3 linked regions of the Coturnix japonica genome follow. The protein of the gene in region 1 interacts with the protein of each later gene in a biochemical or structural test. Links are inferred from orthologs where the notes say so. Each region holds a gene or a part of one and is shown on either strand. Other genes may lie near its edges.

Region 1 (3,500 bases):
AGGTACTAAGCTGTGTACTTCCAGCAAACATGTAGTGGTTGTAGCTGTAGTCTGGGAACATTTATTATTACGGGCAAGTTTCACTGTAGCTCTCATTTTTCTTCTCTTCCACAGAAAATGACGATTTAAAGGGAAAGTCAAGGAAAGATGCATATGTTTTCATAGGCAAAGAGAGAGCTAGGGACAGCAGTAAGACCAGAGATTTCACCTTCAACCAGCTGAGGCTCCCTGAGATGGAGAAAGGCATAAAGCATGAACTGTCATAACCAGGCGTTTTTCCAGCTTTCTTGTCCCAAGAGCATCCTTTGGATGAAGTATTGCACAGTGAACAGCTACGAGATAGACCAGGCCACCTGCTACCCTTGTGGGCTGCTAGGAACACATCCTCTCAGACAAAAAGGACCAAGTTCCTTGTGTTTGCTCTAATTGCAGTATTTCTTACAGAGCCATAGAAACAACTAGGTTGGAAAAGACCTTCAAAATCATCAAGCCCAAATTCTGCCACTATAATGAGTAGTTACAAGTGCAGAGCAAGACCTTGATGCGGAAGGCATACAAAAAGCAAACCAATAATATTAAGAATCCCTCACAGCGAAATAAATTGGAAACTAACATTATGAATGATCCTTGAAATTAACTATGATATATTCCTTTCCATGACAGAGCTTTCCTAAAGCCTAAATGTAAATGATGGAGTTTTTCCTCAACAAAAGAAAATGAGCCCATCCAACCTGGCTTTGAACACCTCCAGGGATGGAACATCCACAACCAAACTGTGTCCACTTTTAGCCAGCCACTCAACCTGTCACCTCATTTCAAGGAAATAAAGTTTCCCATTTATTTTTCTATTTTAGGTTTAGAAAACAAGACATGAGAGCAAAAATAAACAATAGACAGCACTTGGAAATTGGGCAACATCACCAGTAATAGGACCGCTACAAACTAATCAGTTTGGAAGAGACTAGGGACATATAATCTCTGAAGAAAGAAAACAAAATCTAATTCGTGCTGTTCTTTCAGTGCTAAAAAGCAACAATGGCCCTTGAGAACACAGACTGCTGAACAGAATTGTTTTGCTACAGAAAGTAAAGCATTGCCTTTTCGGCATGTGAGCTGAGGGGGTTCAGTCATCCTGCAGTCAGTTCAGAAATAATGGTAAAGCTCACTCCATCCCCATGCCTTTAACCTTTGAGATTACCTCAGTACAAGGTAAAATAATTCATTCTTGACTTCTGAATGCAAAGTGAAGTCTGCACATAAAAAGGTTCCGCACTCGATGAATTGCAATTTCTTTCACATAAAGCCTACGTGTCAGTGTTGGAAAAGCTATTGTGTGTTGCACATAAAAAGTGAGAAAATAAGACTGCAGGCTAAACGCTGTCATTTGCACTGGGGTAAATCCTGATAAATTTCTGTGGTCTCTGTTGGTCTCTATTTCCTTCGTGGTATTCTCAGTTAAGAGAGGAATTAAAAAGAAAACAAAAGAGAACAACTAAGATTTTTGGCTGAGTATACATGAGGAGAAAAAAAAAAAAAAAAAAGAAAAAAAAAAAGACAAAAAAACCTCACTTGATTCTAATGCAGGGGTTTGTCAGCTTAAATCCTTGTCAATTCTAGGAGAAAATAAATAATAATAATAAATAAAAGACAAACCTTAAAGACACTTAAAGACACAATGCCTCCTTTCAAACATTTAAAAGCAACACCATTTCTTGTGCACCGTTTTGTTTCTCCTTTTACTCATTTTTTCCTAGTGAATTGACATTCAGATAATGTTGTTTCCTTACCAGGAGAGGGAGCCCGGAACCGCTGCCTGAGCTCTGGGACTGCTCGATCAGATCCTTCAGGGACTCTCCAGGGGGAATGTAGGTCTCGTCCTGCTCCAGCCCGATGCTGTAGCGGGGCCTAGCTTCCTGCCGCTTATACCTGCCGTTTGTACACCAACGTTAGCTTCCAACGTAGTGAGCAGGGGTACAAAGAGTAAAGAATGTTATCCTCCACATCAGCCTCATATAGAGACAAATGGCTTCCTCGGCTTCTTAGACCAATATTTTCAGTTTTATTACTAACAAACCGTTTTCAGCATCAAACTTTTAAGTATAAAACTCAAAGACTGTGCCCCGCATGCTATGAGCTTGCAAAGCTAGGAGATGCTTTTCTTTCAGCACCTTAAAACACAGCCCAAATAAATATGTGCTTTTATTTTACCAACTGCAGTCTTTTAAAAGTAAAAGAAGGAACAGCTGTGGGACCCGGGAGTATTTAAAAAACGCAAAAAATGTTTTGAACGTATGTAGATTATGATAATACTCTAGATACACTTTCATTCCTGTATTTCCCTCTTTTTTAAGATCAGTTTCTCATCACTTAAACACACTAAGAAGCCTTAGGCTTTTGTTGTTTTTCTGTATAAACTTTGTCCTGTGACATTCTCAGCTTCACTAAAGAGCAATCTGTGCTTCAAACCAAAAGGCTTCTTATGATGCTGGGTGAAAGATAATACATGGGATTCATCACTGAGGTATGTCTGTGATTAACATGAACAAAATACACATTCTTTTCACATGATAAAATTACATCTTTTTCCTTTTTTCTTTTTTTCTTTCCCCATGAGGTTCATCTTAAATATTTCAAAATTTTGAGTCCACAAAAAGAAAAAAAGTTAGGAAGAATGCTAACGAGCTGATAAAGTGCTCCTTATTTACCTGAAGTAGCAGAATATGATGATAAGCACCAGAAGTATACTACAGACAGTCACCGAGATCAGCAGGGCCTTATGGTGAATGTTTCCTTCAGCAAAGTCTGGAGATAAAACAGAGCAGCAGGAGGAAAGTGAGAAAATTTGGAAAGGGAGATGGTACAAAGTCAGTGTGAAAAAATGCACACCGAACAAAAGGTTGATGAAGCTGTGGATGCCCCATCCCTGGAGGTGCAAATCCAGGCTAGATGGAGCTTTGGACTGTCCCTGCCCATAGCAGGGGGGTTGGAGATAGATGGTCTTTAAGGCCTCTTCCAATCCCAAATCATTCAGTGATTCTGACTCTGTGATTCTACTACAGCTCTGAACACGATGCCTATGGATTTCACTGGGGTTTTGTGCGCATCCTCATTGGGCCTCACCAGCAGGGCAGAACCAGCACCCACAGGAACCCAGGTGCTGATAAAGTACTTACTCTGTCAAAGCATGGATTTGCAAATCACTGTTTGACTCTGAATGAAATCAATTAGGAAAATCACACCAGGACTCGTTGCTTTGTATCTTAACCTATGTGATCAGTGAGGACATGAAAAGATCTTAAATCTGTATCTTAAATCGCTGGCATCTGATCGCAGTTAATGTAACAAATAAATAATTGTGTTTATCCTAGTAGGGAAAAAGAGTAGACCACCCAACCCCTGAGAAGGCAAACCACTAAAGGCTTTGTCGGCATATTTCCAGCACTGCAGAATAATCCACCCCTCTGATCCTGTTTAAACACTTAAGTGGGCATTTCTTTCCT
Region 2 (4,271 bases), on another chromosome or scaffold:
TTCTTGATTAAACAGCAAACAAACCCAGTCCTGGCTGAGTCTTCAATCACTATTATGTAATTAGCTGTGGCCTGTGTTGCTTCCTTAATTCCATGACCAAAGCTCTCATTAACGTCACCAGAAGCAACATGGAGATAAGCCTCCCACTGGGACGGCAAGGTGAACATCTTTCTTTGGTTATGTGTTGTGTGAGAGCAGACACTAGGCCAAATTTCCAATAAATTTGGAACCATAACACTGAACCGCAAATTAGGGAGTCCCAGAAGTTATTTACACTCATTAGCCCATGTTTAGCTGTGAGCTTCTGTGGTTAGAAGGCTGGTAGTGTCTGAAAGCATGAGATTCAAGCTCATACAGGTACACCAGCGCCACTCTATAATGACTCCTGGGTCTACATTGTAGTTCCTCCCAGCTCATCCTTGGACAAACTGGGGTGACCTCCAACACTGAAACGTGTGTTTTTCCGCAGAACAGCCCCTTTCTCAGCAGAGAATGTGTTTTCAGACACACTTAGCAATAAAATCAAGCAACAGTATCCAGGATCTTCCTACTGAAATAGCATAAGATCAAAACGTGAAAGTTTCTGAACAACTAAACCCTCAAGGACTAATGGATTTTCAGAAATATGCACCTGAAATATTCTAATGTTTTGCTTGGCTGCCATGCTACCATCTATTTCTGCCTCTAGAGGAATCTGCCAAGATAAGGACAAAACCTACAATTTCATTCTCATTAGAAAGAGCTTTCTGCCTTTAACAACATACAGTTATGTTCTAGTAATGCTCGTGCTCAGATGTCCCTCTGTCCACACACACGTGAGCTCCCCTCTTACCTTGTCCTTTGTCTATAAAGCTGGTTATTGTATTGGCAAGTCCAGCCTCCAGTTTTACACTTCCATTAACACCTTTTCTTTCTGCGTCTGAGAGAGTCCTGTACAAAGAGAGCATGTATTCATGTGGCGTTATAGGGGGCTGTCTGAAAGCTTCCTTAGCTTCCCTTTGGGTGACAGGCTCTTTAGTCTTTTTCGTTTTGAAAGCGCTGCTATCAGCACTGCTCGTGCTGGGTTTTTTCAAAGCCGTCTTGCTGCTAAGATTTGGGACCTTTGGAGTCACCGTCCTTACTCCAGAAGGTCTGCTCGGGAGATGTCCTACCTTTGCCTCTGAGGCAGCTGCTCTTGAAAGAACCCTCTGTGATTCGTCGTTCTTGGCCAGCAGAGCTCCAGGCTGAGCAGCATTGCTTTTAGTCCTTGCCTTCGAGGTCCCGGTGCTAAATCCATGGTTCGCAGCCCGTGGCGTGCCTGCCCGTGCTGAGGGAGTCCTCTCCTTTCCTTCTGCTTTTAACAAATCTGTTTTAGACCCCGGATTACTCTGGCCTGCTTCAGAATTGCTCAGTGCTCCAGGAACTAGATCCAGAGACAGCCAAGTCAAATGCCAAAGCAGTAAAGTGAGAAAATGCAGGATTTTCATCCTCTGGTCTTCCTCTGAATGCCGCTAAAGAAAAAATCAGGGAAGGTTCCTCCAGTTTGGCAGAAGAAAACATGAAAGAAATTAAAAACCAAAGTCAGCAAAAGTGGTTTTCGATCGAGATTAAAACATTGCAAATCTGGTTGTTCAGTGCTCGTATCCAGTCCCATAGTGGAAATGCTCCTGCTCTCAGACGCGCTCTCCCCTGACTTCAGTTCGTGGCTGTAAAGGGCTCGTTCTTGAAAAGAGAAAGTTTACCACCTCGTTTTCTTCTGTAAAACTGACTGAAAAGTTGAAGGAGTCCTGTTTAAATCGGAGGGGTTTTTTTTCCGAGAAGGAAGAATGGCGTAATGCTGCCTCTGTGTTAAAAGGGCTGTTTTTTTTTTTTTTAACGTTTTGAATCCTTTCCAGTGAAAATATTTCACACACAGAGACCTGCAGGTGCTCAGAAATCTTTTACAAACCTGAGCTCAGGAATTGGAAACGGAATTCCAACAAACCGATTTAATTACTCTCTGATGTCATGCTGTCTAAACTAATTTAACTGCGATATATTTCTTTAAAAAAAAATCTTCTTTGCCCTTTTCATGAGCATGACTCATTCCCTGCCTCATGTGAAACAGCTCCGCGGGCTCAGGGCTCCAGAGGACGCGTTTTGGAGCGGCGGCACAACCTCTCCTTTCGCCTTCCATCAACTTCACGTTTAAATGGGACAAACTGCGAGACGGACAGCCGGGACCCGTCCTGCGGCCCACGGGAACGCGCACATGAAAGCCTCGGTGCGTAACCCCGTCCTGCTCCTTATTGCTGGAGCTGCGGCTTCGCTTTGCCCTCCAGCGACTCAGCTAACGAGGCAGGCGATGAATTTGGTATAACGCAGCACCGCCGTGCCCGCAGTCATCGCATGTTGGTGTTTTTATTGCTACGCTTTGAACAAACCCGCGTAACCCAGCTGCAGGAGAAGGCTGTGCAGGCACTGCTCCCTGCAGGCGGCCCCGCTCCTGCCAGCAGCACGGCTCGGGCTGCTCTGAGCCGGGGCGCAGCCGGGACGGAGCTTTTGTGAACCCGAATGTAGGAGAGCTCCCTGCCCACAGACAGGGGAAGGATGGGAGGAGGGAACCGGAGCTGCTGACGTGGGAAGGGTATCTGCTGCTGTCAGCTGTACTCCGGGGAGCACGGAGCGAGAGTGTCTTTCATGCAGTACAAAAAAATGAGCTGTTGTTGTTCTGAATGAACCTTGGGGAAATGAGGCACTGGGCTGGAGTGAACGGGGATTAATGGGACCCTTCTCTCATCCAGCGCTGTGCTGAGCCCAGCCCTCCCCTCCCAGTCACTTATTCCTGAAGCAAGAATAAAGGGGATAGATACAACAGCCTCGATTTTAGCTTGAATTGGACGTGCTGCGGCATTTTCCACTCTGACATGAAATTACTTTCATAAATAACAACCTGCAGCCCTTTCCATATGACACGCTTAGAATGCTTTACCATATTCCAGTGGAGGAACCAAAGGGCAGAACAGCTTAGTGACCGCACAGATGTCACAAATGAGGGAGAACAAAAACCCCACCCTCTCAATTTTGGCCTAATTGCCATTTCTCTGCAGTCAGTTTGATGTTTCCCATCAAAACAAAGCAGCTTTTCCACGAGTTACTTCCAACAGGCCCCTTCCCCAACAGTTCCTTCGTGCTGTCCCCATAACCCTCAGCCATGCTGTCCCTTCCTCCCACCCTCATTATCCACCTTCCTGCAGGCAGACAGGTGTGCTGTGTTGGTTCTGCCCACAGAAACAGCCAAGTGCTGAGTTCATGCTCTTATTCTATGAGGGATGCTCTGAAAGTGATGCCTCCTACTGTATGCTGTTGGCCCATGATGACAGAGGCAGGTGTTGGAGGAATGGCAGTAGAAACTGAACCTTCCCACCCACACGCTGTTCCTTTCTGCTGTTATATGGCAGATGGCAGCAGAGGGAGAGCCTGATAGGATGGCATCTGACATGGAGTCGCACATGGAGCAAAGGGATGGAATCACATTCCTCCATGTAGAAAAGCCAGCACCCAAACACTCTGTTTGGCTCTGTCAGTGTTACTGTATGTGTTGTATCTGTTGTGGTTTGCATGGAAACCTATCTAGGAGGCGTCACTTTTGGGGTACTCCAGTTTTCACAACACCGGTAAGAGTTCTGTATCTTTAAGATCTCTCCTGTTCCATCAAACATGGTTGAGATTCACAGATACAGAAACGATTGGGCAGATGGACAGGAAAGGGCAGAAGGTGAGACAGTGTGACTCCATAGGCCTTGTCTCATGGTAAATCAGACTAACAGCACAATTGGTCAAATGCTCACCCAGTATTTACACATCTGAGATGAATGTAACTTTCCATTTTTATTGAACACCAACTGATACTGCCAGTCACAAGTAAAAGAATGAACCAAACTGGGGTGAATCAGTCTCACAACCAGGACATGGGAGCAGGAGGAGTGTGAAGCTGGAGATGCTGAGCAGCTCTGCGGGAACTTCCCTGGTGGGCCAATGGGGACAGAGCTACTGTGAGCTGCTCTGAGCAAAGCCCCAGGTCTCCTTCAGCTCTCAGGAGGCACCACCCGTTATTCCTGTCCCCTGTGTGATTTCAACCAGATTCTTCTGGCCAAACTGCTATTCCTGGAGCTTGGCCCCTGGGGCTCCCGCCTGTCACCAACACGGTGCTGCGATGTGAGCGCTGTCAGACCTCTGCGCTCCTGTGGATCTGCCCATCTGATGTTTAATCCGCCATAGCTGAATTCACCTCCCTCACATTCAGCTTCCAC
Region 3 (4,097 bases), on another chromosome or scaffold:
TACATAATGGGCACAGCATCACACTGCTTTCACCTTGGTCGTGAAGAGGACTCGCAGGGAGTCATAAAACTAAACTTTATTTGTACTGAAATGCAACAGAAAAGTTACAGAACTTTTGAGGGCCTTCACACGAGGGTCAGCTGAGGGGGCGTGGGGAGCAGCTGGGTGCACAGTGCTGGTTAGTCCCTGCTGGGCACTGTCCCATGGCACAGCTGCGGCTCACAAGGCGGCAGGAGAAGGGACCTGCCCCAGTGCAGATGCTGCGTCGTGCCCTAAGTCAAGATGGAGGGAGAAGGCCACTCCCAAAGGAGGAGCTGGGAATGGAGGTGTCAAGGTTGTTATTGCTTTAGATTCTCATCCGCAGTGTTTTACATTTGGCTGTAGCTTCTTTGCAGATGAAGTCCCTGAGGGGCGTTTGTGACCCCTGCGGAGGGGCCGCGTCCCACACAGGCGAACGAAAGCCGGGGTAGCGGCCAACCCCGACCCCGAGCGCGGAGCCGCGTCGAGGCGCAGAGCGGCACAGGGGAGCGGGCAGGTGCGGAGCGGGGCAGCGGGCGGGGAGCGCCGCTCCGCCGCCACTGGGGGGCAGCCACGGCTCAGGAACGCGAGCGGCCGCGCGGGTCGGGCCGGGGCCGGGGCACGGGGCAGCGTCCCGGGTGATCCCGGAGCGCCCCGACGGCGGCTGAGCGGGGAGAGCGGCTCCCAACCCGCGGCCGGGCACGGCGGCGGTACGGTGCGGGACGGGACGGGACGGGGCGGGCCGGGAGCCGCTCGGCAAGTCGGGAGCGACGCCGGGGGCTCGGGGTCCGGTCCCATCGCGCGACCCGGCGCTCGGTCACTGTGCGGGGAGCGGCGGGACGGTCCCGTGCGGGCGGACGGACGGACACACAGACTGGCCAGAGCCCGGCGCGGTGCGTCCGGGCGAGGCAGGGAACGGGCGAAGGAGGAGGAGGGAGAGAAGCGGCGAGGGAGGGAGAGACGGAGGGAGGCGGCGTCTCCTTTAAAAGCCGTGCGGGGCCGCGGCCCGCTCCCACAGGGCGGCTGTGATTGGCGCGGGCCCGCGAGCCTCCGGGGTCGTGACATCGGAGCGCAACAAAAAGCCGCGGCCGCGTTCGGCCGCCCCCGTGCATGGTGCGGCGCGGGCGGGACGGGTGCGCGCTCGCAGCGCTGTCCCCACCGGTGCTCACACCCTCCGGAGGGGTTTTGTTGGTGGATATTTTTTGTAATGTAGCTTTTTATTTCGTTCTCCTCCTCGGTTGGGTTTTTCCTTTTTTTTTTTTTTTTTTTTTTNTTTTTTTTTTTTTTCTTTTAAAGGCGCGGAGCAAAGCGAAGCCCAGCTCCCATCTCCATGTCGCTGCGGGATTCCCGGTAAATAGCCGCCCGTGCGCTGCGGGTGATGCGCAGGACGCTCGCGGAAGGCGCCGTTCCGCTCCGTAACGCGTAGCACCCACTCGCGGGCGGGCAGCGCGCACCGAGAGGAGAACGGAAAGGAAACACCGACTTTGCGACCGGCGCTTTGCGAAAGGAGAAGCGCGGACTTTCCTCCTGCCTCCCGCCCGCCCGCCCGAGGCATGTTCCCGAGGCGCTCCGCACCGCGGGCAGCTCCCGTTTTCCGCCCGGCAGCCGCAGAGGAGCAGCAGCAGCGCGGTTCGGAGTAACTCCAAGTGATGCGGGGACCACAGCCCGAGAGCAGCACGCGCTCCCGCAGACGCCAGCCCCGCCGCACTCAGGTACGGCCCCGCGGCCGCCGATCGCCGTCTCCGCAGGATGACTCCGTGCAACACCGGGGGGACGGGACGGAGAGCGGGTAGCGAGCCTTAACCCCGCGCCGAGTTTGGCGGGGGAGAAGAGCGTCCCGCGGCTCCTGCTCGAGCGCGAGCGGCTTTTATTTTTTTTTTCCTTTTTTTTACTTTTTTTTTTTCATCTTTTTCTTTTTTTTTTTTTCCCTCTTCATTCCACGCCGGGATAGCGGGGCCCTCCTCCCTGTGACCGGGGAAGCCGCGGCTGGAATAGCCTGCCCCGGGCACGGCCGGGAGGTCCCTCTCCCACCGCCCCGTCCCTCTCCGCCCCCCGTTCCCTCTGCGGGAGGCCGTGGCCGCACGCACCTGCGCCCGCCGAGGGCGGCTCTCCGGCCACCCGCGCCCCTTCCCCTCGCCCCCCACCCCCGCTGCCCGGCCCGCCCGGCTCCTTTTGATCCCCCGCCGCGGGGATTTGGTGCCGCCGCGCACCTGAGCCCCGACGGGGCCCCCCCGGCCGCGCCGTCCCGCTGTCCGCTCGCCATGGGCCGGCAGCCACCTGCGGAGTGGCCCCGGCTGCCCCCCGCTTCGCGGCGCGCTCCCCCGGCGCGGTGCCCGCGCTGACCGCCTCCCATCGCCTCCTCCTCCGCGCAGGTCGACCATGGTTGCCGCCACCCGCTCCCTCCTGGCGCTGCTGCTCTGCCGGGTGCTGCTGGGCGGCGCGGCCGGCCTCATGCCGGAGGTGGGACGGCGGCGCTTCAGCGAACCGGGCCGCTCCGCCTCGGCCGCGCAGCGCCCCGAGGACCTCCTGGGAGAGTTCGAGCTGCGCCTGCTTCACATGTTTGGGCTGAAGCGGCGGCCCAGCCCCGGCAAGGACGTCGTCATCCCCCCCTACATGCTGGACCTCTACCGTCTGCACGCCGGCCAGCAGCTGGGCTACCCGCTGGAGAGGGCCGCCAGCCGCGCCAACACCGTGCGCAGCTTCCACCACGAAGGTAGGGGCCGAGGGACGGGCGGAGGGGAGCGGGAGGAGTGCGAGGGTGGGACGGAGGAGGGGCGGCGGGGCGGGCTCCGAGCTTCGGAGGGGGTCGCGGCTGCGTTTCCAGAGCCCACCGCGGGCTCCGGGGCCGCCGGTGTGAGGCTCTCGCCGCGCTCTGCCGGCCGCGAACGGAGCTTTCTTTGGGCGAGGCGGAACGCGAAGGAAAGCTTCCCCCGAGCCGCGGCGAAGGTTCCTAATCCCTTATCTAAATCCCCGTGGGAGATAGGCGAAGCGGGCCGGAGCGGCCTTCCCCCGGCCGCCGTCGAGCCGGAGGAGTCGCGAAGCTCGGGGCCGTGCCGCCCGGCTGGAGGTAGCGCTCCGGGGTGGAGGTAGCGCTCCGGGCTGGGGCTCCGGCTGCTGGCTGCCCGTCCGGGGGCCGTACCCAGCGAGCGGCTCACACGGCCGAGATCGCAGCCGCGTGGTCCCGCAGAGCCGTCGGTGCTTGCCGCTGCCCCGCTCTGCAGGAAGCTTTATCCCGGGATGGAACCTGCCCTGGCCATAGTCTCTGGCGCTGGCACACGGCGGCTCTGCTTTAAAGGGAATGGAAAAGCGGTCGCCCCGCGCTCTTCAGGTGGAACAGCTGAGAAAAGAAACGCGCTTAGATTTAATGGTTCTGCTGGACGGAGGTGGCCCCGGTGCCGTTTAGTGGGAAGTGAGATCAGTGGTGAAATGTCACTCTCTCTGTAGCGGGGAAGTAAACAGCAGCAGCGCGTGGCTCGTTCCTTTTAAGCCCGTACGTGGCAGGCGAGGTGCTGAGCAGGACAGGAGCCGAGGGGCACGGAGTGTAACTTGTAGGCAAACAGAGCAGCGTTGGAAGCGGTGGTGTTGCAACAAAGTCTTTGACATGGAAGGCTGTCCTCCGGTTTTCACAAACTTGAGACGAAAATCAACGTGACTCCGTTTTTCCATTGAGTTCTCACTGTTGGTTCGTGACTTCATGAGAGCAGGAGGCTGTGCCGGGAGCGCTCGCACATCTGCATATTTACAAACGCCGGGCTGGTCCCGAAGCGCTGCAGAGCTGAGCCCTGCCTGATGCGGGAAGTCGGGCTGGAGCCAGCAGGGAATGGCACGGGGCTGAGAACTGCTCACGTCAGTGCCAGCTTCCCTTCAGAAAGTGAACGGATCCCCGGGATGCTGAGTAGCAAAAAGAAAACCCAGGATTTCAGAGGGATTATTGTGGGCAAACGCTATTTCTTCCGTGTCTGCAGCAGAAACTTACAGTGTAGCAGCCCTAGATACATAGTACTCCCCCTGAAGTTCCATTCCAGTGTCTGTTGGCTGAAAGGGAAAGATGGCACGGGGCTCAGGGGCTGGTTTGGTTG

The links.
Region 2: the proteins of BMPR1B (region 1) and GDF5 interact in a biophysical measurement, tested with the Homo sapiens proteins (3 studies listed by BioGRID and IntAct, with this or other methods). The link is inferred for Coturnix japonica from reciprocal best matches to the Homo sapiens genes BMPR1B and GDF5.
Region 3: the proteins of BMPR1B (region 1) and BMP2 form a complex in vitro, tested with the Homo sapiens proteins (3 studies listed by BioGRID and IntAct, with this or other methods). The link is inferred for Coturnix japonica from reciprocal best matches to the Homo sapiens genes BMPR1B and BMP2.

The regions. Positions count from the first base shown.
Region 1 is NC_029519.1:52,645,954-52,649,453, reverse strand, and holds part of BMPR1B (bone morphogenetic protein receptor type-1B), read right to left. Parts: intron 2,803-3,500; coding exon 2,706-2,802; intron 1,927-2,705; coding exon 1,788-1,926; intron 1-1,787. UniProt on the Homo sapiens protein: On ligand binding, forms a receptor complex consisting of two type II and two type I transmembrane serine/threonine kinases.
Region 2 is NC_029535.1:1,102,732-1,107,002, reverse strand, and holds the start of GDF5 (growth/differentiation factor 5), read right to left. Parts: upstream 2,801-4,271; 5' UTR 1,467-2,800; coding exon 833-1,466; intron 1-832. UniProt on the Homo sapiens protein: Growth factor involved in bone and cartilage formation. During cartilage development regulates differentiation of chondrogenic tissue through two pathways.
Region 3 is NC_029518.1:13,152,279-13,156,375, reverse strand, and holds the start of BMP2 (bone morphogenetic protein 2), read left to right. Parts: upstream 1-1,297; 5' UTR 1,298-1,730; intron 1,731-2,390; 5' UTR 2,391-2,397; coding exon 2,398-2,731; intron 2,732-4,097. UniProt on the Homo sapiens protein: Growth factor of the TGF-beta superfamily that plays essential roles in many developmental processes, including cardiogenesis, neurogenesis, and osteogenesis. Induces cartilage and bone formation.